Linked DNA regions of Kluyveromyces lactis. The protein of the gene in region 5 purifies or fractionates together with the protein of the main gene of each other region. This does not show direct contact. Links are inferred from orthologs where the notes say so. Each region holds a gene or a part of one and is shown on either strand. Other genes may lie near its edges. The genes, in order: RLP7, BRX1, YTM1, UTP20, NOP4, DBP9 and PUF6.

Region 1 (2,764 bases), about 590 kb from region 5:
TGTAGTGTGGGATACTTTTTACTTCTTCAAATAGGTATCAACAATAAAAATAAATCGAAGCAAATGTAGGAATGCGTTAAAGCAGATGTACTTACTTAGAGTACATAGATATATTTATATAATTCAATATATAAAAGTATATGAAGCATCTGATGTTGAACCTGTCATGACTCTAAACTGGAATGGGTAGTTATGCTTCTGAAGGTTTTCCGTTAGAAAATGAGTGCAGGGATCAGGCCCGGAACCGGTTTTAGCCTGAAAGGAAAAGAAAAAAATGCGGTGATTACTAGCACGTGACTGCGCTGAATTGGAATCCACCACAAGTACAGCGAATGGCAAGAGGGAAGGGGAATATATTGTGCCTGGCGGTAGCGTCTGCTATATCAAATGTTAAACATAACTAAATGCAGTAGTGAATAGAGTAATGTATTTCTACATATGTGGGTAGGGCCAATGGGAGCCCGATGTCTATTGTACAGATATTTTCCTTTTATAGTTAATCAATTCAACTTGGAAATCATTGAGTCGATATCTACTTGGATAACTGGAGCCGTGGCAGCGTTTGAAATTTGACGAGTCTTCTTGTTTTGTTCGCGCATTTTCAGTTTATTCAAACGGGAGATGGCACCGAATCCACTGACTTCTCTGTTCAATTTGAATGGTAATAGGAAGAAAGTACATTTCGAGAAATTTTCGCCCAACGTCGAAATCTCATGGATGATATCCTCGATACAAATGACACCTTCATCACCTAATTTCTCTTCAACGATATTGTTGTCATTCAAGATTATCTCTTTTGGTTCTTTATCTTCTGGCCTTTGCCACATTATTCTAGATCTCTTTTGGATTAAAGAACGGATAGATGCAAGTGAAGGTTGTCCGATAACAATATATGGTGATACAAGTTTCAACAATGGGTACACGTCCTTGGTAAGTTTGATGAAAACACCAGTGTTCAACTCAACAAGTCTCAAAAGAGATAACACTTTGTAAGCCTTTGCTGGGATCTTCACAGCTGTGGGTCCTTTCACTCTTATAACAAATAATAAGCTTGGCTCACCATCGTATACGATTTTTTCCCTGATTAACCCATCGTCCTCTTCATCTTCCTCATCAACATCTTGAAGCTCAGATTCGGATGTAGCCTTACTACCGGCTTCTCTTTCAGAGATACGCAAGATAAAATCCCTATCGGATGGGATATGTGACAAATCGTTCTTGACCTTTTGGTTTTCTAAGTCTCTGACTCTTCTGATTCTGGTCTTTTCTCTCTCAGTAGCCAAAGTTGTGGCGACTATCGTCTCAGCTCTAACAAATCTGTTCTTCTTACTACGTTTCTGTTTCTCTTCTTGCTCCTTTCTCTTCTTGGCAAGCTCCTGCTTCTCCAACCTAGTACGATCAGCATTTCTTCTCTTTCTTAAAAGAACCTCTGGGTTCGAGTTCAATGGTTGTGACATTTGTTGCTTCTATATTACTGCCCTGTTTATTAATCTCAGCACAAACCAGCTCTATATAATACAACTTATATGCTCCTAATACTTCAGATTAGCCAAGGTCATCTCTCATTGAAAGCTTTATTCATAATCTTTAATTTCATCTCATCGCATCTCATCGCACTGAACTTTTTTTTCCTCGCCAAAAAAATTTTCTGTAACGAAAAGAAACACTTCCAGTCACGTGAACTGTGAAACCAAGATCTTCTGTTTGACACTCAGACAAGTAGATGATCAATTACAATTACAATTACAAGCTGACCTCGAATAGGGTACTGGCAAGTTGGCGTTTACCTGGGATGATCTGTTGCTGCAGCATGGTGTACCCCAGCAAGATTCTTCAGAATTAAATGGGAACATTTCGGAAAGTTACCCAAAGAATGGGAAGCAAGTTAAATAGTCAAATAGTCAAATTGTGACTGTCTATATGTGAATCGTATATACAGAGACGAATTTTCAAGCAGTTTCCCCTATCTACCTGCTGCAGGAACTAGCACTTCTAACCGGCAGTAAAGTTTTCCGTATCAGCTCATGAAATCGTTATATCTTGGCTTTTGACACTGGCTTTCGAGGTGGCTTTAGGAGTCTCGAAATGTGTGCCCACAGCAGTGTTTCCTTCGAAACCAGCCGTGGCTCCATTCTTTGTACCATCTATGCCGCTCTCTGTTTCGAAACAACCGTGAGATCAACTGTGGTTCAAGTTCTCAACACAGAACAAGTAAGAAAAAAAAGAAATGGGAAAAGGTCCCTCGAGAGGAAGAATGCTGAAAAGGCAGAGAAGGAACCTCAGAGCAAAGTCCGCCCTTTATCATAAATCGGCGGTCTTTTCTTACAACAGAGATCCCAGTGGGGCGGCTCGAACGACGGAAAAAATTTCGAACGATTTAACCGTGAACGCATGCCTGTCCCTAAATTGTAGGACGTTTTCCTCGATTTAAATTCCAAATCACTGAGCGATACCGCTGACAGCACTGGAATTATGCTACTCTTAAGTTATATTTTTCCCTTCGCTCACGTGATTCTAGGAAGATAGTAAATACACTGTGCCGTTTGTTGAGCTACAGCGTGAACAGTAGGAAATGTACTTCCACTACGGGCTGACTAAGTCCACGCTCGAAGGAATAAAAATCACTTCGAGTGTCTTATGTTTTTCTTTTCTATCAAAACGACAAGTACGATAAAAAAACCGGCATGAAAATCGAGTAGTGGTTATCAGAATGAACATTGCAGGACCCGCGCTGAACCCAAAAGTCGACTTTCTTGATTCTTAA
Region 2 (2,858 bases), on a different chromosome or scaffold from region 5:
GATTTCCAAAACTTCCAATAACTCATCGAATGACTTGCCAAGTTTGTAACTTGCATCTATAATCTTTTGCAAAATACCATAATCGTCAAGGTTATTCAATAACGAGATTCCATGTTTCCAAATGAGTTTATAATCGTCTAATTTCACCAAATGGCCCATAAGGAAGTTTTTCAAATAAAGGTCTAAGTAAGTACCATGTTTCCAAAACTTGAGGATCTCGTCCACGATCTCCTGTGATTTATCCTCAAACAATTCACAAACTTTACAGAAAACGATCAACTCTTGCTCATTCTCAAAAGGTTTCAAATCGCTTGTCAATTTATATGTCAACTTAGGTAAAAGATCCAATTCCCTTTCGTTAATGTTATCTTTATCCAACTGAAACCATACTACAGTAGCAATACTGTTCCAGAATTGGAACAATCTCGATTTCGATTTTTCATTGACTCGTGGCATCTGGAAACTACTCTTACTCAAATGTCTCCAATTTAAATCCCTCAATGACTCCAAGAACCAATCATAACATGTCTCCGAATTACCGTATTTCATCATTGCTCTTTCATAAGGTTCCAATGCACTGGTGGTGTCAAAACCTAATTCCAACAAAAATCGATGGCACATTGATAGCGATTTCGCATCGCTTGGAGGAGATTTGGCATCCAAGATCAACTTTAACCCATTTTCAAAACTATATTTCGCAGGAGATTGCCTGTACTTGACATATTGCTCTAACACTTTGTAATAAGTGGCGGATGGGTACCGTTTCTGCAATGATGCAACAAACTGTGAAGCTTTCTTAAACAGTTCCCTATCTAATAGCTGAAAAAGCTGATGATCTTCAGAGTTCATATCAACAGTTTCCACTCTTCGTGTTGGTCGATATCAAATCTAACAGATCAAACAGCAACGAACACCGTTACTGCCAGACATACCGGGTTGTTCTACGAACGACGTGCGTATGAGGTTGTTCATTAGAAGTTTGAATGCTGAATTAAGCCAATATCGTAATTTTTCAGTCTTGATTACCCGGATAATAAACTATAACTGTATGTGTATCCATAAATGTAAACGGCACAGCCTAACAAGGGCATCAGCGCTCTTACTGCTTGAAATATAAACGCAAGACCTCACCATACAATCCCCACCCGCGTTGAATCTGATAGAAGCCAGTTGGCAGACGATACGAACATTTTCTTTTCGAGAAACTATCCTTTTCTATTTTAAATCATCACTGATGAGCCTTAGTTTCTTTTTCGGTACATTGAAAATTTTTGAAAAGTTAGAAAAGGCGATGAGATGAGATGAGATGAGATGAGATGAGATGAGAAGAGGTATTGAACAAGGTTGTCCTGATCCTTCCAATCTATACATCGTCGGTCTAAACACTTTGAGATTATTGTATTACACTTGAGTAGTTGGAAGGAAGAAAAAGCCAAGAACTGCTAAGCAAATCCTTCTATAATGTCGAGTATTTTCAAGACTTTGTCTCGTAAGGATAAAGACGGTAAGAAGAACAAAAATAATGCGGCTAACAGTGACAGTAATGAGAAACAGTTCATGAATAAGCAACGTACCTTACTTATTACGTCCAGAGGTGTTACTTATAGACATCGTCATTTGGTTCAGGATTTGAACAGTCTTCTACCACATTCGAGAAAGGAACCTAAGTTGGACACGAAGAAGGATCTAGGACAATTGAATGAGATTGCGGAATTGTACAACTGTAATAACATTATATTCTTTGAAGCTAGAAAGCACCAGGATTTGTACCTATGGCTATCAAAGCCACCAAATGGACCAACAATCAAGTTTTATTTGCAGAACCTACATACCATGGACGAATTAAACTTCACTGGCAACTGTTTGAAGGGATCCAGACCAATATTGTCATTTGATGGTAGATTTGATTCTGAACCGCACTACCGTTTAATTAAAGAACTTTTTATCCATAACTTCGGTGTACCACCTCAAGCTAGAAAGTCCAAGCCATTCATTGACCATATCATGTCTTTCAGTATAGTTGACGAAAAGATCTGGGTAAGAACGTATGAGATCTCGCATGAAGCTAGGAACAACGTTGAATATGAGGATAAAGAAGAAGATGAAACGTCGTTAGTTGAAATTGGCCCACGTTTCGTGATGACACCGATTTTGATCCTTGAAGGTTCATTTGGTGGTCCAAAGATCTACGAAAACAGACAATACGTATCGCCAAACTTCGTTAGATCTCAAATTAAACAACAGGCTGCCAAGGAAGCTAAGACCAGAGCCGAAGCTGCTGTTGAAAGGAAACTAAAGAAGAGAGAAAGTGTCTTGGCTGTAGATCCATTATCCAACGATGCATTGTTCAAAGATTAAAGTACAATCCAGAACTCTAGAAAAAATCATGATTTATATATTGTCAACTTAGGAGAACGGCGTTCTTCCTGCTCAGACTTGTACATATGTATACTCCTATATATATGCTTTTGAATGGGCTGTTTTTGATAATATAATTTTTCGTTTTATTCCTAACTATACTATACGTTAAAGTCGTACATGAATATTTAATTTATTTAGTTAACTTGGGGGGCCAGAATACCAGTTAAACTTGAAGCGTCATGAAACGTCATGGGGAAAACGTTTTTACATTTGGTGTGAACCACAGTGTGCTGTTTGAAATGTTTTTTTTATCATTTGTTTGAATTTTAATAGATTTATTAATATTTTACTTGCCCAATGCCATTGCATTCTTCTATTCCCCAAATACGAAGATGTTATGCGTAGTAATAACAAATCATACTGTATAATTTTCAGGAAACGTGAATTGAACAGTCAAGTGGGTAGAATTAATAAGGAAGTAAAAATGTCCTGACTTT
Region 3 (3,160 bases), on a different chromosome or scaffold from region 5:
TGTTTCTTTGCATGCCAGAACTCAGGCGTCGTTTCTTTCAACTCTCCATGGCGATATGCACTGATGATTTTGCGAGCTTGTTGAAGATCATCACTGCTCGTTAACAACATCGTTGGATCAGAAATCTCTGCGCAGTGACGAACACGTCCCCAATAGGTGCTTAGATCATAACGAGATTCTGGTAGGGCAATTGGACCTGGGACACTGGATGCCATGATAAGCTGTACTCAAGTGTATCGAAGTCTTTTGGATGAGCTGAGCTTCTACGAGACAAACACGACTTTGTTCTTGCTTAATTACTTTCGAGATGAGATGACTCTTTAGATATAAATGCATTATTCTCTCGAGCTTGCATTTTTTTTTTTCATTCTGCAGCGTCAGAATGATACGTACGGCGTTACAAAGCTGCTGGAATTCTGATAAGAAAAAAGACAGTAATTATTGATCTAGCAATAGGTTATTATAATTCTCTTATTCTCGGAGAAACTGTACTAGTGAAACGATGATGATTCCAACCACTTCGATTTCCAATTTAGCAATAACATATTTGTCTTTGCCCTAATCATATTCTTAACATGTCTAAAGGTAATATGATAATTTACCCGGACAACTAATTTTCTCTGCCTGAAAAAAAAAAAGAACAGACATCCAGTATAAATTGAGAAGCTTTTCACCTTGAGAAAAAGACAAGGTTAAAGCAAGTACTCTAAGTTAATCAAATTCGAGTCGACTGTTCTTTTGATTATTTGGCTTAAAAAAGTGATACGAAACATATTAATGCCTTCTATTCACTGTGCCATCTGATACACCGTAGATGAACAGAGGGGAAAAGAACGGCTAGATGAAAATTCTATCCGCGAGCGTACCTCATACTGATTAAAGTACTTAACTATTTTTCATCAATTGGCTTTAATTGGTAGCTGCGTGAGCGGGACATTCTCTATCTCTTGTCACTCCTGAATTTACTTATACTTGTATATACCATATATTACTCGTGAAAATGTTTAGTATTACACGGTCATTAGTCTGTCACTTAGCTATTGGTGTACTGACTAATTTCCACTACCCGGTTCCTTAAAACATATACACGTGACTGGCATTTATTTCTGGCGGATTTCTTTTTCGAGCAGTGGTTTGTTTCCCAAAAATTTTCCAAGCTCATCGCATCTTACAACGCTTAGAAAATGTACAAGATAGGAAGAATAGAGTTAACGCGCTCCATCGTACCTCAGTAACAACGTGCGATCACAATCTATTAGACAATTCAAACTAGAATTCACTGGAAGAATATCTTAGTTATAAGGAGAAGTAAACTGTAGGGGAATATGTCAACAGATAAGACTCAGGTGAAGCTACGCTTCTTTACTCGTGAAGAAGATGAGACTTTACATGTCAATGATGCTCCAATCTATGCTCCAGTTAGTCTAAAGAGATATGGTCTTTCTGAAATTGTTAATCACCTACTGGAATTACCTAAATCTATGCCATTTGATTTCCTTATCGATGGTGAACTTTTGAGAACATCGTTGCAGGACTATTTGATCAAGAAAGGTTTATCATCGGAAACCTTTTTGAATGTTGAATATACTAGAGCAGTGCTACCACCTTCATATTTGTCTAGTTTTGATAACGAAGATTGGGTAAGCTCATTGGATGTCGGAAGCAATTACATCTACAGTGGTTCCTATGACGGTATCGTAAGAACGTACAACTTGTCAGGGAAAGTCGAAAAACAATACAGTGGTCATTCTGGCCCTATTCGTGCTGTGCATTACATTTCTAGTACGAGATTGGTGTCCGCAGGGAATGATCGCACTCTACGTCTGTGGAAAACGAAGAATGATGATTTGAAATCAATTGATGAAGAAGAAATTGAGGATGGTAAGACATTGGCCATCTTGGAAGGTCATAAAGCCCCTGTAGTGTCCATTGATGTTTCGAAAGACCGTATTCTATCTGCATCATGCGATAATACGGTGAGCTTGTGGTCCACGAATTATAAAGAGATGACTGTCATTGATCCGATGGAGGATTTAGGAGGCAACGTGTCTACTGCAGCCAAGAAGAGGAGAAAGTTGACTCTAAAAGATGGATCTATCAGAAGAAGAGCCCCTTTGGCTCTTTTTGAATCTCACAGTGCTCCAGTAGAGGCTGTCATTTTCGATAAATCGGATGATACTGTTGGGTATTCCGTGTCACAAGATCATACTATAAAAACATGGGATCTGATAACGGCAAAATGTGTCGATACAAAGACGACATCGTACTCACTTCTTTCTGTTGCGCAACTACCAAAATTAAATCTCTTAGCATGCGGGTCGAGTGCCAGACACATTACTCTTCATGATCCTCGTGTAAATTCTTCATCTAAAATCACCCAACAGCAGCTTGTAGGTCACAAGAACTTCGTTGTCGCTTTGGATACTTGTCCAGAAAATGAATATATGATATGCTCTGCATCTCACGATGGAACTGTCAAGGTTTGGGATGTTAGGTCTAACACTGCAATGTACACTATCACCAGAGAAGATAAAAATGTTGTTAAAGGTGTCAATGATAAAGTGTTTGCTGTCAAATGGGCTAAAGGCGTAGGTATCATCAGCGGTGGTCAAGACAAAAAAATTCAAATTAATAAAGGTGATAATATATTTAGTAACTAATCGTAATTTTATATATTATATACAGGAATTATGCTCACTAGTTCACTTAAATATAAAAGAAATGTACCACAAAAAATGTTGAGAAACAACATAGTATTTGCAGGGTTCTAATGTTAATTATCTTTTTAGTTCCGAATGGAATTTGGCTAGACCATAAAACCCTTGGAATAAGGATTCGTAGTCTGTTAGGTAACCATTCAAATTTTTAACATCAACCTGGTTGGAATGATCTTCCCATCCACGTAATTTACGTAGTCTTGCTAGCTCATCGTATGTGAATTGTACTAGTGGTCTAGTTCCGTATTTCAACGGTCCAACATTAACCCAGTGTAAACGTCCTGTACAATTGTTAGAAAGCATCTCAATAGCATTGAAGTAATCAAACATGTTTGCTGCTGTGTCAATAAAGAATGCAGAACATACTATTATATTTTTGTATTTTTTCTCTGGTTTATAGCAGCAAAAGTCACCGAAAAGTACTGTTAAGTTCTCTGGCTTTT
Region 4 (4,300 bases), on a different chromosome or scaffold from region 5:
TCGGCCGTGTTCAAACCCCAAATACAAGTGGTCTCAAGAAGAGCAGGAAAACTGCAGTAATCACTATTTTGCCTAGTTTGGAAAACCGCTACATTATACAGTTTTTGCAGCTCGCCACGGGAAAGTTCAAATATGAATACTTCTTTGAGAATGGGAATAAAATTGACCTTACTTATGCGACTTCTCTGACCTTAAGAAAGATGCTTGGTTTCATCAATGTCGTTAATTCGTCATTGGCAGTGTTGGGTTCCCAATATCCCGACGTGATGAAAACTGTTATAAGGCCTCTAATATATGCTATCAACATGTCAAACTTTATTGTTTCTGAAAAGTCCGATGAGCAATTTGTCGAAAAGGTAGCATCTAACTTGAGGCAAATAGGACATAAGTGTTTGCATAATCTCTTTAGTCAACTAGGAGACGTTTTGGATTGGAGGCCTTTTACTGCTGACATATTCAATAATGTGATTACACCCCGTCTAGAGAAATTTGAAGATGAGAACTTGCAACAGGTATCATCTGTCATGAAAATTATTACATACTGGGCTGAACAAAAATCACTCTACAGTTTCCTATACTTTGATGATTTGTCTGCTGTAGCTGCCTTGATGAAAACATTACAAAATTCAAATGCAAAGGAGTCTGTAGTGGGTGTGATATTGAATTTCTGTAATAAGATAATCAATAACCCTGACCAGGACCCAAAGTATGTTGAGCTAATCATTATGATAGTTACGATTTGCTTGCAGCAGTTGCCTGTGCTACTACAAAGGTGCACGGAAAGTACTGTTATTTCTGCTGCAGTAGACTTGTTGCTAAATATCACCGAACTTGGTTATGTTGAAGATAACGAAACAAGAGAATTGTTGGTGGGTTCATTGACTCAAGCATTGCAAAAAGATCTCTCGCAATTCACTGTGAAAGATAAAGTGAAACTTTTGAAGACATTATCAACTTTGATGGATAATTTCGACTGTTCGTTTTCACAAGTTGAACCATTGTACATTGCCGCATCTAAATTATACAGATCTTATTCTGATAAGGATCTCAGACAGGCATTGAACAATATTTTTGTGAGCATTGGTGCGAGGTTCAACGAATATGAGGCTGTTGGGGCGCTGTTGGCTGATTTAAATTCGTATTCGACCAGCAGAATGAGAGAATATGACTTTGAAAGAAGATTACCGGCATTCAAGCGCTTCACAGAGAAAGAATGTGACTCTTACACAGAAATGCAATGGTTGCCTGTAATCTACTCATGCTTGTTTTTCATCAATGACACTCAAGAATTAGCTATTAGAACTAATGCTTCTCACACATTAAATCGATTTGTTGATTGTATGAACTCAAAGCTCTCAGTTGAAGATGCAAGTGCATACATAGACATAATGAAAACCATCATTTTACCAAATATCAGGTCAGGTTTAAGAAAGAACATTGAAGAGATTCAAAATGAATATATCTCTCTCATTGCTTATATTGTCACAAACTCTCAATATCTGTTTGAAATTGAAGATATGAAAGTTCTATTACACAATGGTGATGAAGAAGCTGATTTCTTCGTTAATATAAACCATATTCAGTTGCATCGTCGTCAAAGAGCTGTCAGACGTCTAAAAGACTATGCTCCAAAGCTTTCTGACAACAGTATTTCGCACTACTTAATTCCTATGGTCGAGCGCTATGTTTTCTCTACCGAAGAGAAGTACAGAAACATTGGTAACGAAACCCTTATCACTATCGGTACTCTATCGAACTATATGTCATGGAACCAATACAAAGCCTTATTCAGAAGGTACAGCTCTATGTTGAAGAAGAATACTGAAAAACAAAAGGAAGTGGTTTCCCTTCTTGTCAATATTTCTGTTTCCTTAAAGAACTCTTTACAAGCAATGAGAACTGGAGATGAATCCCTACCAACACTCAGAAAGTTCCCAAAAAGCTATCAAGAACCGGAAGCTTTCATAACAAAAGATATCTTCCCTAGCTTGAGTAAGATCTTATCGACTAGAGATGACGAAACAATTGTGTCTAGAGTTCACTTATCAGAAGCATTAGTGAACCTCGCATTGGGCTTGGAAAAGGATGACACTGCGGCACTTTTGCCTGGTATTTTAACCAGTGTATGTCAGGTTTTACGTAGTAGATCGGAAGAATTGCGTGAGGCAGTGAGAAAGAACTTAGCAAATCTTACTGTTATACTAGGCCCACAATACTTATCTTTCGTCATCAAGGAGTTAAAGTCAGCTCTTACCAGGGGCTCCCAAATCCATGTTTTGAGTTATTCTTTGCATTTCGTATTGATGTCAATCTCTGAAACCCTTGTTCATGGTGATCTTGATGAATCTGTTGGTATGATAGTCGATGTTATCATGGAGGATATTTTTGGTGCTGCTGGTCAAGAAAAGGATGCAGAAGGATACACATCCAAAATGAAAGAAGTCAAATTTAATAAAAGTTATGATACCGGTGAATTGGTAACATCCAACATCACCCTCCCAATGTTTGGGTCGTTATTGCGCCCTGTCAATGTATTGTTGCATGAAAGGCTTGCTCTAAAATCGCAAAACAAACTCAATGAATTATTAAGAAGGTATGCCTTGGGTTTGAATCATAATCAAGAAGCGTCATCTCCAGACGTTCTCAAATTGTGCTATGAGATATTTAATCAATCTCACTCAGACAAGAGTAATAGACCCAATAAAGTCAGAACCACTAAAGATGAGCGTGCAGATTTCTTTTTAGTTGATCTTAACTTTAAATCAGGCACTGTCCAGAACGATACAACTATTTACGCTCATACTTTGCAAAAATTCTCCTTAGATCTATTGAGAACGGCTGTTACCAAAAATGCCAACCTAATGGAAGTTAAATATCTACAGCCTTTCATCCCATTAATGAAAGAAACTCTTGTATCTGATAACGAGGGTGTTGTCATGGCTACTTTACGCCTTTTGACTATAATAATTAAGTTGGATTTCGAAGAAGAAGCTGAGGCTATATTCAAAAATTGTGCCAGAAAGGTCTTAGAAATTGTCAAGAATTCACCATCAACATCATCAGACTTGTGTCAGATGGGCCTCAAATTTTTATCAGTCATGCTCCGCCATAAAGATATTCAATTGAAAGATACTGCCCTGGGTTACTTGTTAGGACGTCTCCAACCTGACTTGATGGAACCTAGCAAACAGGGGTTGGCGTTCAACTTCGTCAAAGCCTTGCTATCAAAGCACATAGTACTTCCAGAACTTTATGATGTTGTAGACAATATTGCGGAAATCATGGTTACAAATCATTCTAAGGAGATCAGAGATGTTGCCAGAGGTGTGTACTATCATTTCCTTATGGAATATGATCAGAGTAAAGGAAGATTAGAAAAACAGTTCCGTTTTATGTTGAACAACTTGCAGTATCCATCTCAGGAAGGTCGTCAATCAGTCTTAGAACTCGTCAACTTAGTCATTAACAAATCTGGTGCAGAACTTGTGAAGAAAATTTCATCATCTTTCTTTGTTTCCTTGGCGAACGTTTGCGTCCAAGATGATGCCCCGAAGTGTCGTGAAATGGCTTCCGTTCTTCTTGCCTCACTCTTTGAAAAATTGGGGAAAGCAAATGTAAAGGAAATCGAAAAGTTCATTACCGCGTGGTTAAAGCAGGCTGACAATGAACAATTTTTGAGTTTGGGTTTAAAGATCTACAAGATTTACCTGAATAAACTTGGAGCTGGAGTAAACCCTTCTCTTGACACATTAGCGATAACTCGTGTGAAGTCTATTATTTCCAATACAAACGTCGGATCAGATTCTTCATGGGACCTCGTTTATACCGCATTATCTGTCTTCACTGTTTATGTTGCTAAAAATGAAGGCCAAGCATTCAGTAGCGAATTTGATGAGACCTGGAAGCAAATTGCCAACTGTCTGTTATACCCTCATTCTTGGGTTCGTCTCTCGGCTGTTCGTCTCGTCAATCAATTGATTAACAATCTTTCCAAGCTTGAGGCTCCATTGGATGACTATCAAATTCAAACGATCGCATATAGAATTTTCCGTCTGTTGGGAGCACCAAAATTACCTGAAAACTTGTCGTCAGTTGCTGTGAAGACTCTTCTAGTTATAATCATGAAATGGAATGAAAATAATACGCCGTACATTCATAATTCAGAAGAGAATTCAGTGTCCAGATATTCAAACGCGATAGAGTTTGCCATTGCTAGAACTGGTTGGATAATCAGAAGTGAGGATAATCCAAACGATTCTCATAATTCGAAAAAAGCTGCCATTCAGCTGGCTGCATTAAC
Region 5 (3,791 bases):
TTTAGACATTCTTTACCGTCTATTGCAGTATGATCCTATCAAGAGAATCGATGCAATCGACGCTTTAGACCATGTCTATTTCACCAACGGCGACCCTCCTGTCTGTGAAAATGTGTTCGAGGGTCTCAACTACAAATACCCACCAAGGCGCATTCACACAAACGATAACGACATTACGAATGTCGGCAATGATAATAATCAAGCTAATCACTCTCAAAAACAACCAATGCATGGTAACAATAATAATAAGAATGGGAACATGAACGGATTAGGTGTAAACAAACGTATCTTGGCAGCAGCAGCGGCAGCTGCCGCTGCAGCTGCTGTGTCTGGTAATGGAAACAACCCCACAAGCAATACTGCAACCGGAGGATCAGCACGGAAAAAGAGAAAATGATTCTATAATTGAAATGCATGTTATTTAATATACAGATTTTATATCCTAGAAACTTCATTGCTTCGGAATGCTTTGAATTTTTGCCTTTGACTATTGTTTACATTCAAGAACGGCCCTTGTTCTTTCTTCTACGTTTAGATCCAATAATCTGTTTAATATTATTACTTAGACCAGATTTTGTTTCCTCTTCTACTGGTTGAGCCACTTTTTCTTCTTCTTTATTCTCTTCATCATCTCTTTTTCTCTTGAAAGATATCAATCTAGATTCTTTGACCTTTTCTCTTCTTCTCTTCACAACGTTAGCGTTTTCGATAGCAAATTCGACCACCAGTCTTCTTTTTTTGAAACTGTCTGCATCAAGCTGTTTCTTTTCATCATCCGTAAGTCCTTCTAAGATTTCGTCCCTACTGACTTCATGAGCATTTAACCATCTTAGACACATTAGCGCAGCTTTATGATCCCTGAATTCAACAAAACCATACCCTCTACTTCTACCACCGCTAGATCCTTTAATTTCCATGATAATTTTAGATTGTCTAACAATACCTTGTTTCTTGTCCTTCTTCTTTTGAGCTTCGATTTCTTCTTCAGACATGAACTTGTACTTTTCCTTAGTAGATCTGACGATTTCTTCTTTATTCAATGCGTGTCTCTTGTTTTCGTTAACTTCTTTGGCGAACTCTACTACAGCTTTACGAGCTAGCGCCTTTAGACCCTTCTCAGTCATTGCTCTTGGAATATTTCTGATAGCCAATCTAGTCATCGAAAGATGTAACGTTGGATTCTTCTTCAATTGTTCGACTCTTAACTTGTAAGATTTTTCTCTGACTTCCATATCAGCAGGAGTTAACAACTGTGAAAGCTTTGAACCTGCAACAATTCTACCTTCATTTAACAAATATAGATTACGTCTGTCCTTTTCACCTGGTGCCTTACCAAGAACTTCTTTTCTCTTCTCGGCATTTCTCTCAAACATTCTTCCAGCAGATTCTCTATCAAGAGTTGGAGAAATTGCAAGAACACGACCCTCATAAACATACTCTGGGGAAACATCATCACTTATTAGAAGGGATGTACTTCCTGTAGCAGGAGCATTATTTAGACAGTCGTTGTAAGCATCTTCGCTTCTGAATGCAACGAAAGCAGTACCCTTCGCCAAACCAGTTTCTTTATCAATCACTGGCAAAGCGTATTTTACTGGGCCGAACACGCCGAAATGACGTTCTAAGGATTCTTGAGTGGCATCGTATGGAACATTACGCACAAAAATAGAGAAATCTTCCTTTCTGTTCTTCTTTACGGTATCCTGTTCTGGTGTTTCCTCCTCTTCGCTGATTTCTTCATCAGAATCCAAGACGATGTCACTTTTTTCTTCTTTTTCTTTGTCGTCCTGATTGTCAGCGTCCTCTTCACCCGAATCAGAACCATCATCCTCATCATCATCATCATCTTCTTCTTCTTCTTCCTCATCTTCATCAGACGCTTCCAGTTCCTTATGTTCGTTCTTATAGTCCTCCCATCTGTTCTTTTGAATTGCAAAATCAACAGCCACTTTCCTGCCATCGATCTTCAAATCCTTAGTGCCTTCTATAGCAGCCTTACAGTTAGAGATCCTGTTCATTGTAACAAAAGCAAACCCACATAATCTACCGTCTCTCTTCCTTGGGATCGTAGCTTCAACAACGGTACCGTACAATCCGAAGATTTTCTTCAGTTTCGTCGGATCACGACAGGACCATGGCATATTTCTGATAATTAATTTCGGTTTACCCTTCATTAAATCATTATCATCTTCGGGTTTGCTTTCCTCCTCATCTTTAACATTATCTACGGAAGGTGCTGATGATACCTCATCCGCATCCTTTTTACCACGGGAACGTTCTCTTCTTTTGGCAATATCGATTCTCAACAAACGTCCCATAAACTTCGTCTTTCTAGCCTGATTCAAAGCAGTCTTAGTATCATCTTCAACTGCAAAACTAACAAAACCAAATCCTCTGCTTGCACCCTCACCATCTTTGACAATAACAGCATGCTTGATAGGAGAGAATTGGGAGAAGAAGTTACCGAATTCTTCATCGGTAGACTCAAACGGCACACCACGAACAAATAACGTCTTCAGATCAAGACCTTCATCCTTAATAACTTTCTTATCACTCATCACAGATATATTAAGCACAAATCTGCGTCGTTTGATGTAGACGCTAACAAAATAAGTATATAAATGTGTTCATTAACCTTCTACTATATATATACTAGATATCAATACTAATGGTTCTTGGGCGATGAGATGAGATGAGCTTTAAAATTTTTTGACAAAAAGAAATCAAGCGGACTGAAAAGCTGTAAGATTTAAAGAGATGAACAGATCACGTGTGGATATTCCTGGCATATACGGCTGTTCAATACCTCTGTTCTCCGATGCAATACAACTTTCCTGGTTCTATGAAGATATTCTGTCAATCTTATACGACAGTTAGACCAATTTAGTTGATTGTTCTCACTTTCTTGTCAGAATCAATACTATATAAAATGCATGGAATTTTAACATCGACTATAATCTGAAACTATGGAAAGGTTTGATGACCCTTAATCCTTATGTTCTTTTTATGATGGTGTTATATGGACGGTGAACAGCATATTATTGGGACGGCCAAGATGGAACGCACGCTTCGAAATGACAATAATAATGTAGATATTACAGTTACAAAGAATAAACTTGCTAGGCTCGGTGCACAGGCAATAGTGAAACTGATCACTACCTGGCTTGATACACATGCCATTAATGATTCACAGCTGGTCTCGGATAATTTAGTTGAATTGGTGAAAAAACATGGGGTACGGAATATTGCTAATATGGCTGTCACGAGTTGGTGGCCTTCTTTATCTCGAGAACAGTTATCACAACTGGATATCTGGTCTGTTTTATGTGACACTTCAACTAACCAATGGGTAGCGTCCAGATGTTTGGATAGAGATGGAAAGCAATTTATCGTAAATGTGGAGCCGAATGAGCTTATCAATGGTATGCGCGAACAGTTTAAACGACTTTACGAATTGGATGTTAACATTGAGGAAAACGATGATTTAAGTATGTACATATGCCGAGTTCAGTTGTTCGAATCAACTGGCGACCTTATTATCAATACACACAAACCGTTCTACTTTGCTATTATGCCGGGACACTCGATTATCTTCCACTCGTTGCAGTCTGATACTCACTCACAACTTATATTACTGGCATTCTCAAAGCTACATTCCAAGACAATCAGGTTGGAAAGAATTAGCAGGAAACCAACCACGTCATTACACGAATTAAACCTTTCTCTAGGGCTGCCGTCTGTAAATACTACAGGGTATGGGATTTGGTCCGTATATTCGGGCAAGGATGCAC
Region 6 (3,573 bases), on a different chromosome or scaffold from region 5:
CAGATGTCACAAACTTTAAACTCAAAAGATTGAGGCTATACTTACATGATTGTTTCAGACAATGCAGTGCATCTTTAATGACAGAAAAACAATTAATTGTAATTTGGAAAAGCATACTTCCAACTATAAGATATCTTTCTAATTATGACAATGACTTAATCCGGGATCTAATTCATTCGACCTATATTAGAATAATCAACACTGAAAATTTACAAATGAAATCCACTAGCATACAATGTCTCATAGAACAATTCCACAATGTGCCTGATGAATACTTATGGGATTGGTTAGATGCATGTAACGAATTAGCCCGAACTCTTCCGCCTCTAATGAAAGAACATATCATTACTAAATTATGGGAGTATATATCACATTCTCACAATGAACTAGCAATTAGATGGTGGTATGATAGGATAGTTCCAAATTTATCAAGAATTTGATCTATACTTATATATTCCTAGTGCTAATGTTAAATAGGCTGGTCGTAATTAATTGAATATCTATTTGAAGCTTTTCAAAGGATCAGATTTACCCTTTCTTTGGACATTCCCCTTCTTCTTAACCACTCTTCCGTTCTTTCTATGCGAATTTTTGTGGAATGGAACGAAACCGATCTTCTTATTATCTTTCCTAGCAGTTTCTGGTAAAAGATAGTCCGGAACTCTTTTTAAATGCTGTTGTACACGAGCAGGATGTAACTCCTTGTCATGTCTCAAACTCTCTAAGTCATGAGGATTCTCTTCAAAATGTCTCTTTAGTTTCTCACTTGCCAAAAGTTCCTGTTTTAACTCCTTTATCCTTGCCTCTCTAATAGCAACCTGAGTTACTGCACGGAAACCGTCTTCCATTCTATAACGGAAACCTTCGACCTGTTTGATATCAAAGTTGTAAGGCTGTAGTTCAAAGCCTAATTTAGCCTGTTGTTTTATAATTCTGCCTAGTATCTTTTCATCCTTCTTAGCACTCTTGATCATAGATGGTTTATGCTTCCCGAATTCCTTCAAAGGAACAACAAAAGAAATAGAAATTCCTGACTTCCCTGCACGAGCTGTTCTACCAATTCTATGTACATACGATTTTGCAGTGGTTGGTAGATCAAAGTTTAATACACAGGCAACATTTTTGAAGTCCACACCGCGAGATACACCATATTCTTTGTCTTTCTCCACGTTTAGCTTTGGCTTCTTTTGTTTCTTTGCATTGTCTTTCGTAGTAACAGTGGAATCATCGACAACCTCAACTAAACCATCCTCAGTTTTTTCTGATTCTAAGTCTTCGTCTTCTTCTTTGATATATTCAGTATCGTCTGTAGCTATTAACAGTTGATAAACGTTCTTGTTGAATTCTTCTACGATATGCTGTCTTGAATTTGCTGGCAGTTCACTGTTCAAAATGCAAGATTTAATACCAAACTGTTCTAAAACTAGCTTTAGTCTGTATCCTCTATCGATATTGTTAACGAAGATTAATGTCTTACCCTTAATTAGTCCCAGTTTGAAAATCACATAACACAATAGGAACTTATCAAATTCTCCAACCTTCACATAATATTGAATAAGCTTTGTTTGATCTTTGTTGACTTCGTCGTCATTAAGTTTCAAAATCGCTGGTGAACGGCAGAATTGCTGCTTCAAGTGTTGGATATCGTCATTTAGAGTGGCACTCATCAAGAAAGTTTGTAAACTCTTTCTCAATGGTAAGCGTTCTGAAATCTTCGTAAGGTCCTCTTGGTATCCGAAAGTTAACACCAAATCAACTTCATCGATAACCAAGAACTTCAACCTGTCAATATTAACATCTTGCGCATCTAGTAAATCTACTAACTTGGCCGGCGTAGCTATCAATATTTCTGGATTTTCGGTAAGTAAAGATTTCAATAAGTTTCCCGATACATTACCCGATGAAAGATTTAAGCATTTAATTTCTTGAGAACAGAAAACAATGAGCTTTTCAACAACTTCTAAAACTTGCTGAGCCAATTCTCTAGTTGGGACCAATATTACCCCTAGAGTGGCACCTTCATCATTCTGATCTGCCTTCTTATGATCTAAAATTGTTTGAATCACTGGTATCAAATATGCTAAAGTTTTACCAGAGCCGGTACTAGCTTTCGCTATGATATCCCTTTTCTCTTGAAGAGCTAATGGTATCGCACTGGATTGGATCAAAGTAGGGTGTTTGAAGCCGATACTGCGGATGGCTTGTGATAAACGTGAATCCAAGTGGAACGAATCGAAAGAAGAAGAATCATCAATGTATCCCTGGGAAGCGCTTGTTTGAGCCATATTGAAGCGTTTTTCTGGACTCTAGCTCTCGTCGAACACTTTAACTATAACCTCGGTTGTAAGTTTCGATCAAAAGGTTAATGCTGCTGATAGTTGAGACCCATTTAGCCTGTTTTACAGCTCTTGTACGTTCAGACTCTGGATGAGATGAGATGAGCTTCCCAAAAATTTTCTTGAGGTGCAAAAAGAAACTACACAGGCAAAAGGATTTATGAGTCACGTGATTGAGTTATCTTGTCTCTTCTGGATTGGCAATGTGAATGAAATACCTCACTGTAGCTCTGATTTTGCCATGGTATTGGTAGATTGATTTAAAATTTACTGTTATAATGAGAATATATATATATATATCGCGTTTAGTAGTTTAGTAAATGGTTTTTTGTCCTCTTGGTGTCTTTTGTAACTTGTCGAAAACGATATGTTCATTCAGTTAATTGAAACTTGAATGCATCTTTAAAGTTTTAATAGATTATTTAGTACAGAGGAACACCTTGGCAAGATGGCAGTATAGGGTTGAAAAGTATATAGTTAATGCAAAAAGATGATTAATGACTAGCTCATATATAATCATATCTATATATGAGACAGATTAACACAATGGGGCCACCAAGTCGGAGCCAATTTTTAATAAACTCTCTATTCTACCTTTCAATGGATTAGAGTTACATTCTTCCACAACCATTTTTGAGAAGTTTATACATGCTGTTGTTTTTCCTAAGTTGATAGTGCCTTTTATTTCTTCTTTGGAGTCTTCCTCATTCAAAAATAATGTAAAAGTATCACCAAACTGTTCCTTGAAAACTCTCGATATGTTCTTAATTTTAGTCGTGTGATCATCGTGTCCATGATGATGTCCACATGACTTCGAACTCATTTTGATACTTGCTGGAGCGCTCTCGACACTCAGTAGAATTGCCATGACACTATCCGCGACTGAATCACTGATAACATTCTGAGTCCATTGCAATGTAGCTACATTGTCAACTATATTTAATATTACATCTCCCATGATTTTTATTTCTAGTTCACCCTTCTTTATCTTCCTCGTCTTGAATTCGGGATTGATGTTCTTCAATGAGACGTTTTCTTCGTCAATGTATACATCTACGTCACCAAACATTTGGCAGATATGCCAATATACTAGTTCGCTTTTACAGTCCAAGTGGACTGTCTGTCTTTCTGTCAAAACTGTAGTAGATAATTGTTGATAATGTTCTCTTAAATCTGAAAGCGAAACTAAACTTAGATCAAAATTCTTCTCATCTGACACCAATATACCTGAAACTAT
Region 7 (3,858 bases), on a different chromosome or scaffold from region 5:
AACACTAAGGCTCTATCAATTTTCGGCAGTAGCGTTATGCCATCAATTCCTGTTGGTCTGTCTTCATTGAAGTTGACTTCCGAGATCAGTGTGAAATTTCCAACATCTAATTCATAATAGTGTAGTAACGCTCCTGAAGTCGAGCCCAGGTAGATGTGCTGACCATAATATTCGATACATGAGTACTCATATTCATGAGGCACATTCTCGATTAATGGTGAAACAGCATATAATCCATCGGTTACTTCAAAGGCAGTTGAAATGGGTTTCTCTTTAGTATCGTCATTCATAAGCCATCAATGCCACTGCTGTAATTAGTGAATTGAGGAATAAATGTTCTTAGCTGTATTATCTCTGGTTCGCAGATGATAGTCTCATTTAAGGAAGTGTGAATCTTAATAGTAGACTAGAACGTCCTTCGTCCACAATGATGAGAAGCTATATCATCTTTAATATACATATTTTAGAGCCAAACTATATAACGACTTGACTATACATACTCAATGCTTCATTAGCTTTAGAAGTAGTTGAGCACCCTTGTTTGAATCGTTCGTCTCTATTTTCTTGATCACTTTTTTCAAATCATGATCGAATTGTTCCCCTTCTTCAGTCCCATGTAAGGCTTCATACAATGCCACAATGGTAAAAGAACTGTTGGGTTTGTTGATCCAATCGAGTAGGTTGCTGGAATCAATGATGTCTTCATAAAATTTTTCAGCAAATGGAATACCAAGTCCCTGAACTTTTTCTAGAGGTTCTAGTTTTCTTGCTTTCACGTTGTATCTACCATTTTGAATGAGAGACTTTAGCAACCTTGCCGAAAATGGTTTGTTAATAGGGTGGTCTTCTTCTGAAATGTCACCTTTGAAATAAATGGCGACGGTGTCCACAAGCTCGGCAAACAACTTTTGATCAGACTCTGAAAGTTGTTCATAGACATCATCGTTAACGAGTAAATCTGCGACAAATTGAGAACCGATGTTTTCATCTAGAATGGTTTTGTAGTGTTCGTTTACGCCAGATAAAATCATTGGTGCGAACCTTTTTAATAATTCAAGTCTTCTTTGGTCAAATGGCTTCTTGGAAGTAGTTTCCGACATCTTAATGTATCTTTGTAGTTCATTCTTCATATTTGGACCGAAGTATTTACCATCTAATCCTAAAAGTAGGAATAAGAGCGGCCTCCTACCAAATTTATCAACAATCAATTCTGGAAGATGTTCCTTAATTGGTGGGGAAAATGCCTTGGAGACGAGAACAGTATCATCGACTGTCATTAATAAAGTTATGAAAACAACGGCACCGTGTTCATTTTGAATTAACTTGATTGCATGTTCTTTCAAGGTCTTTATCAACCCCTTTCTTTCTTTGGCATTTGCTTTAGCGATTAAAGTAGATGCAACTTCTGCACCTTCTGGGGTATGCACTAATTCCGCAAAGTTCTCTTCTAAAAGTTCGATGAACTCAGATGTTTCTTTATCGTTGGCGATTTTGACGTATTCCCTCATTGCTGCGTGTAAAATCTGGAAACCTGCCGAACCTTTTTCAACAGAAGCAGTGATGGTACCAATCAAGTTTCTAGCGATAATATTTCTCTTTTCTACGCTGGAAGCACAAACTTCTTCGAGCGTAAGTTCCTTATGAGATTCTCTGAATACGGCGTATTCTGAACCCCAAAATTCTCTGATCATTTGATTTCTTTGTTCTTGAGAGGCATAAAGAACAAACAAATCTTCGACCACATAGGCACCTTCACGGTGTCTCATTAGTTTTCTCAAATTACCATGTAGTTGATCGATTATGATTTGTCTAGATTTTCGGGAACCATAATGTAACAATTTAACCAACAAATATTTACCATATGATGATGTGGCCAAAACATAAATTTTATCTTTCAATGCCAACGTGATCTGTTCTCTGCGCTCTTTGGAAGAATATTTGACTAATGTCTGGACAATTCTGGATGCATCATGCTTCAATACTAAATCTTCAATACAATCATTCGAGAGTTCCCAGATCTCATTACATAGCTTTTCACGGACAGGCTTTGGAATTGGAGGGTTCTTGACACGTAATCTTTCCCATAAAGACTTGATCTGCTGGACTGTTTCACCAGATTTACGCTGAAGTTTTCTCTCCTTTAATGTTTTTCTTTGTTCGGCATGCTGGCTGACACCATTACTTTCTTTTTTGTCTGCATCATTTCCGGTTCCAGCATCTTCTTCATCTTCAGCATCTTCTTGATCCTCATCAGATTCATCCAGTTGATCAGATTCGTTGTCTAGCTCGTCTGAATCTGAATTTGAGCTAGCATCATCTAATTCATCATCTAGCTCATCTTCTGAAGATAAACCGTGGAGGACATCATCAGAATCTTCATCGCCAGAATCAACACTAATGTTTTTAGCTCTTTTTACAATTTTACCAGAATCCTTCGACTCCTTAGATTCCAATTGACGCTTGTTCAACTTTTTCGACGTGGCTGCCATATCTGTAGTGCTGTATTGTCCTACGAGAGAGAATAAGAATGTATATGTTGTTATTTAATGCTACCCATAGTGCAGTTACTACTGTATAAGCTCATCTCATCTCATCGCTTCTTTTTCAAGTTCAGAAAATTTTCATAATATGCTAAAAAGAAAGAACTCAAATAAACATTCGCCAGAATCTCTCTTTTTTTGATGGGGGGAATATACAGTTGGTACAGGATTTGGCTGATTAAACCGAATATGGCAGTTTATTACATGCTTCAAAGATTTAGCTCTATTTCTCGAAAGCTCTCTCTTCCGAGTTAGTTAATTATGAAATGAGTAAATGTCACCCTTTCAAACTAACGAGATTTTTATTGTAAATCACAAACAAGTTGAGTTTTACACATGACAATGATAATATTACAGTAGTAATTGTGGACAACTTTAGCAGCTATAGTTGTTAATTCTAAAAGATTTTATGGTTATCTATATACTCAACTTCATATGAAGTTCATTGAAAAACCAAGACAGTAGCTTCGGGTATGAGAATAAGAGGGAATGACTGCATTTACATTAACTTTCAAGTAGTTCATCGGAGGGTTTATCCTTTTGATAAGCTTCCATGTCCTTTTCTCTAAATCTCCTTTGCATTTCGCTATTTTGTTGCTTTCTCTTCTTGGCTAGTTGTTTGGAAGCTTTGATGTTGAATCCATCACTTAAAATAGTTTGTACTTCCTCCAATTCTAGACCAGATAGTTCTGGATAACAGAGATAACAGAAGACGGTAGATACTGCAGCTAGTGCAGCAAATAATGAAAATGTACCAGTCGGTGTTATGTTTTGTAACATTGTTAGGAAGGTAGATGCAATAATTAGGGAACCAGCCCAGTTAGTAGCTGTACAATAAGAAGTACCTACACCTCTAACGGATGTTGCAAATAATTCAGATTGCTGCCATGGTACAGTACCGATACCTAGAGCATAGAATGCTGCATATACCATGATGAATACGATAACGACTATACCCCAAGAACTGAATCCACCATTGGAAACTTCCGATTCACCAGCGCCAGTGAATTTTATATCTAGGAAATGGAAGGCGATAGCACACATAACCAAGGAAACCATCATACCAGGCAAGCCAATCAAAAGGATTGCTCTACGACCGACCTTATCAATCGCAAAGAAAGCGACTAAAGTGAATACGAAGTTAGTACCGGCAACGATGATAGACACTGCAGTAGAATTTTCGAAACCAACAGTTTGAAAAATAGTACCAGAGAAATACATTAAAGAATTCCAACCACAGAATTGTTGAATACCTTGTAAAGCACAACCGATCACCAATGCCCTGAAATTGCATGGGACAGTATGTAATTCTTTGACA

What was found.
Region 1: the proteins of NOP4 (region 5) and RLP7 purify together in Saccharomyces cerevisiae (affinity purification with mass spectrometry, with the first as the bait; 4 studies listed by BioGRID). This does not show direct contact. The link is inferred for Kluyveromyces lactis from reciprocal best matches to the Saccharomyces cerevisiae genes NOP4 and RLP7.
Region 2: the proteins of NOP4 (region 5) and BRX1 purify together in Saccharomyces cerevisiae (affinity purification with mass spectrometry; 4 studies listed by BioGRID, with this or other methods). This does not show direct contact. The link is inferred for Kluyveromyces lactis from reciprocal best matches to the Saccharomyces cerevisiae genes NOP4 and BRX1.
Region 3: the proteins of NOP4 (region 5) and YTM1 purify together in Saccharomyces cerevisiae (affinity purification with mass spectrometry; 3 studies listed by BioGRID). This does not show direct contact. The link is inferred for Kluyveromyces lactis from reciprocal best matches to the Saccharomyces cerevisiae genes NOP4 and YTM1.
Region 4: the proteins of NOP4 (region 5) and UTP20 purify together in Saccharomyces cerevisiae (affinity purification with mass spectrometry, with the first as the bait; 3 studies listed by BioGRID). This does not show direct contact. The link is inferred for Kluyveromyces lactis from reciprocal best matches to the Saccharomyces cerevisiae genes NOP4 and UTP20.
Region 6: the proteins of NOP4 (region 5) and DBP9 purify together in Saccharomyces cerevisiae (affinity purification with mass spectrometry, with the first as the bait; 3 studies listed by BioGRID). This does not show direct contact. The link is inferred for Kluyveromyces lactis from reciprocal best matches to the Saccharomyces cerevisiae genes NOP4 and DBP9.
Region 7: the proteins of NOP4 (region 5) and PUF6 purify together in Saccharomyces cerevisiae (affinity purification with mass spectrometry; 3 studies listed by BioGRID, with this or other methods). This does not show direct contact. The link is inferred for Kluyveromyces lactis from reciprocal best matches to the Saccharomyces cerevisiae genes NOP4 and PUF6.

Annotation. Positions count from the first base shown.
Region 1 is NC_006040.1:418,128-420,891, reverse strand, and holds RLP7 (Rlp7p), read right to left. Parts: upstream 1,458-2,764; coding exon 501-1,457; downstream 1-500. UniProt on the Saccharomyces cerevisiae protein: Involved in the biogenesis of the 60S ribosomal subunit. May act as a specificity factor that binds precursor rRNAs and tethers the enzymes that carry out the early 5' to 3' exonucleolytic reactions that generate the mature rRNAs.
Region 2 is NC_006041.1:1,577,273-1,580,130, forward strand, and holds BRX1 (ribosome biogenesis protein BRX1), read left to right. Parts: upstream 1-1,461; coding exon 1,462-2,358; downstream 2,359-2,858. Other genes in the region: MDM20 (Mdm20p), read right to left, coding at 1-849. UniProt on the Saccharomyces cerevisiae protein: Required for biogenesis of the 60S ribosomal subunit.
Region 3 is NC_006039.1:647,173-650,332, reverse strand, and holds YTM1 (Ytm1p), read left to right. Parts: upstream 1-1,325; coding exon 1,326-2,660; downstream 2,661-3,160. Other genes in the region: FSF1 (Fsf1p), read right to left, coding at 1-215; KLLA0_C07403g (uncharacterized protein), read right to left, coding at 2,778-3,160. UniProt on the Saccharomyces cerevisiae protein: Component of the NOP7 complex, which is required for maturation of the 25S and 5.8S ribosomal RNAs and formation of the 60S ribosome.
Region 4 is NC_006041.1:1,543,540-1,547,839, reverse strand, and holds part of UTP20 (Utp20p), read left to right. Parts: coding exon 1-4,300. UniProt on the Saccharomyces cerevisiae protein: Involved in nucleolar processing of pre-18S ribosomal RNA and ribosome assembly.
Region 5 is NC_006040.1:1,003,846-1,007,636, reverse strand, and holds NOP4 (mRNA-binding ribosome biosynthesis protein NOP4), read right to left. Parts: upstream 2,559-3,791; coding exon 501-2,558; downstream 1-500. Other genes in the region: cyclin-dependent serine/threonine protein kinase SSN3, read left to right, coding at 1-397; CHL4 (Chl4p), read left to right, coding at 3,020-3,791. UniProt on the Saccharomyces cerevisiae protein: Required for 60S ribosomal subunit synthesis. Probably involved in the processing of 27S rRNA to produce mature 25S rRNA.
Region 6 is NC_006039.1:416,717-420,289, forward strand, and holds DBP9 (ATP-dependent DNA/RNA helicase), read right to left. Parts: upstream 2,286-3,573; coding exon 501-2,285; downstream 1-500. Other genes in the region: PEX8 (Pex8p), read left to right, coding at 1-440; cleavage polyadenylation factor subunit YSH1, read right to left, coding at 2,875-3,573.
Region 7 is NC_006039.1:1,047,744-1,051,601, reverse strand, and holds PUF6 (pumilio-family RNA binding domain-containing protein), read right to left. Parts: upstream 2,490-3,858; coding exon 501-2,489; downstream 1-500. Other genes in the region: CORVET complex subunit VPS3, read right to left, coding at 1-290; myo-inositol transporter ITR1, read right to left, coding at 3,045-3,858. UniProt on the Saccharomyces cerevisiae protein: RNA-binding protein involved in post-transcriptional regulation. Component of the ASH1 mRNP which transports the ASH1 mRNA to the distal tip of the bud, where the ASH1 protein is translated and targeted to the daughter cell nucleus.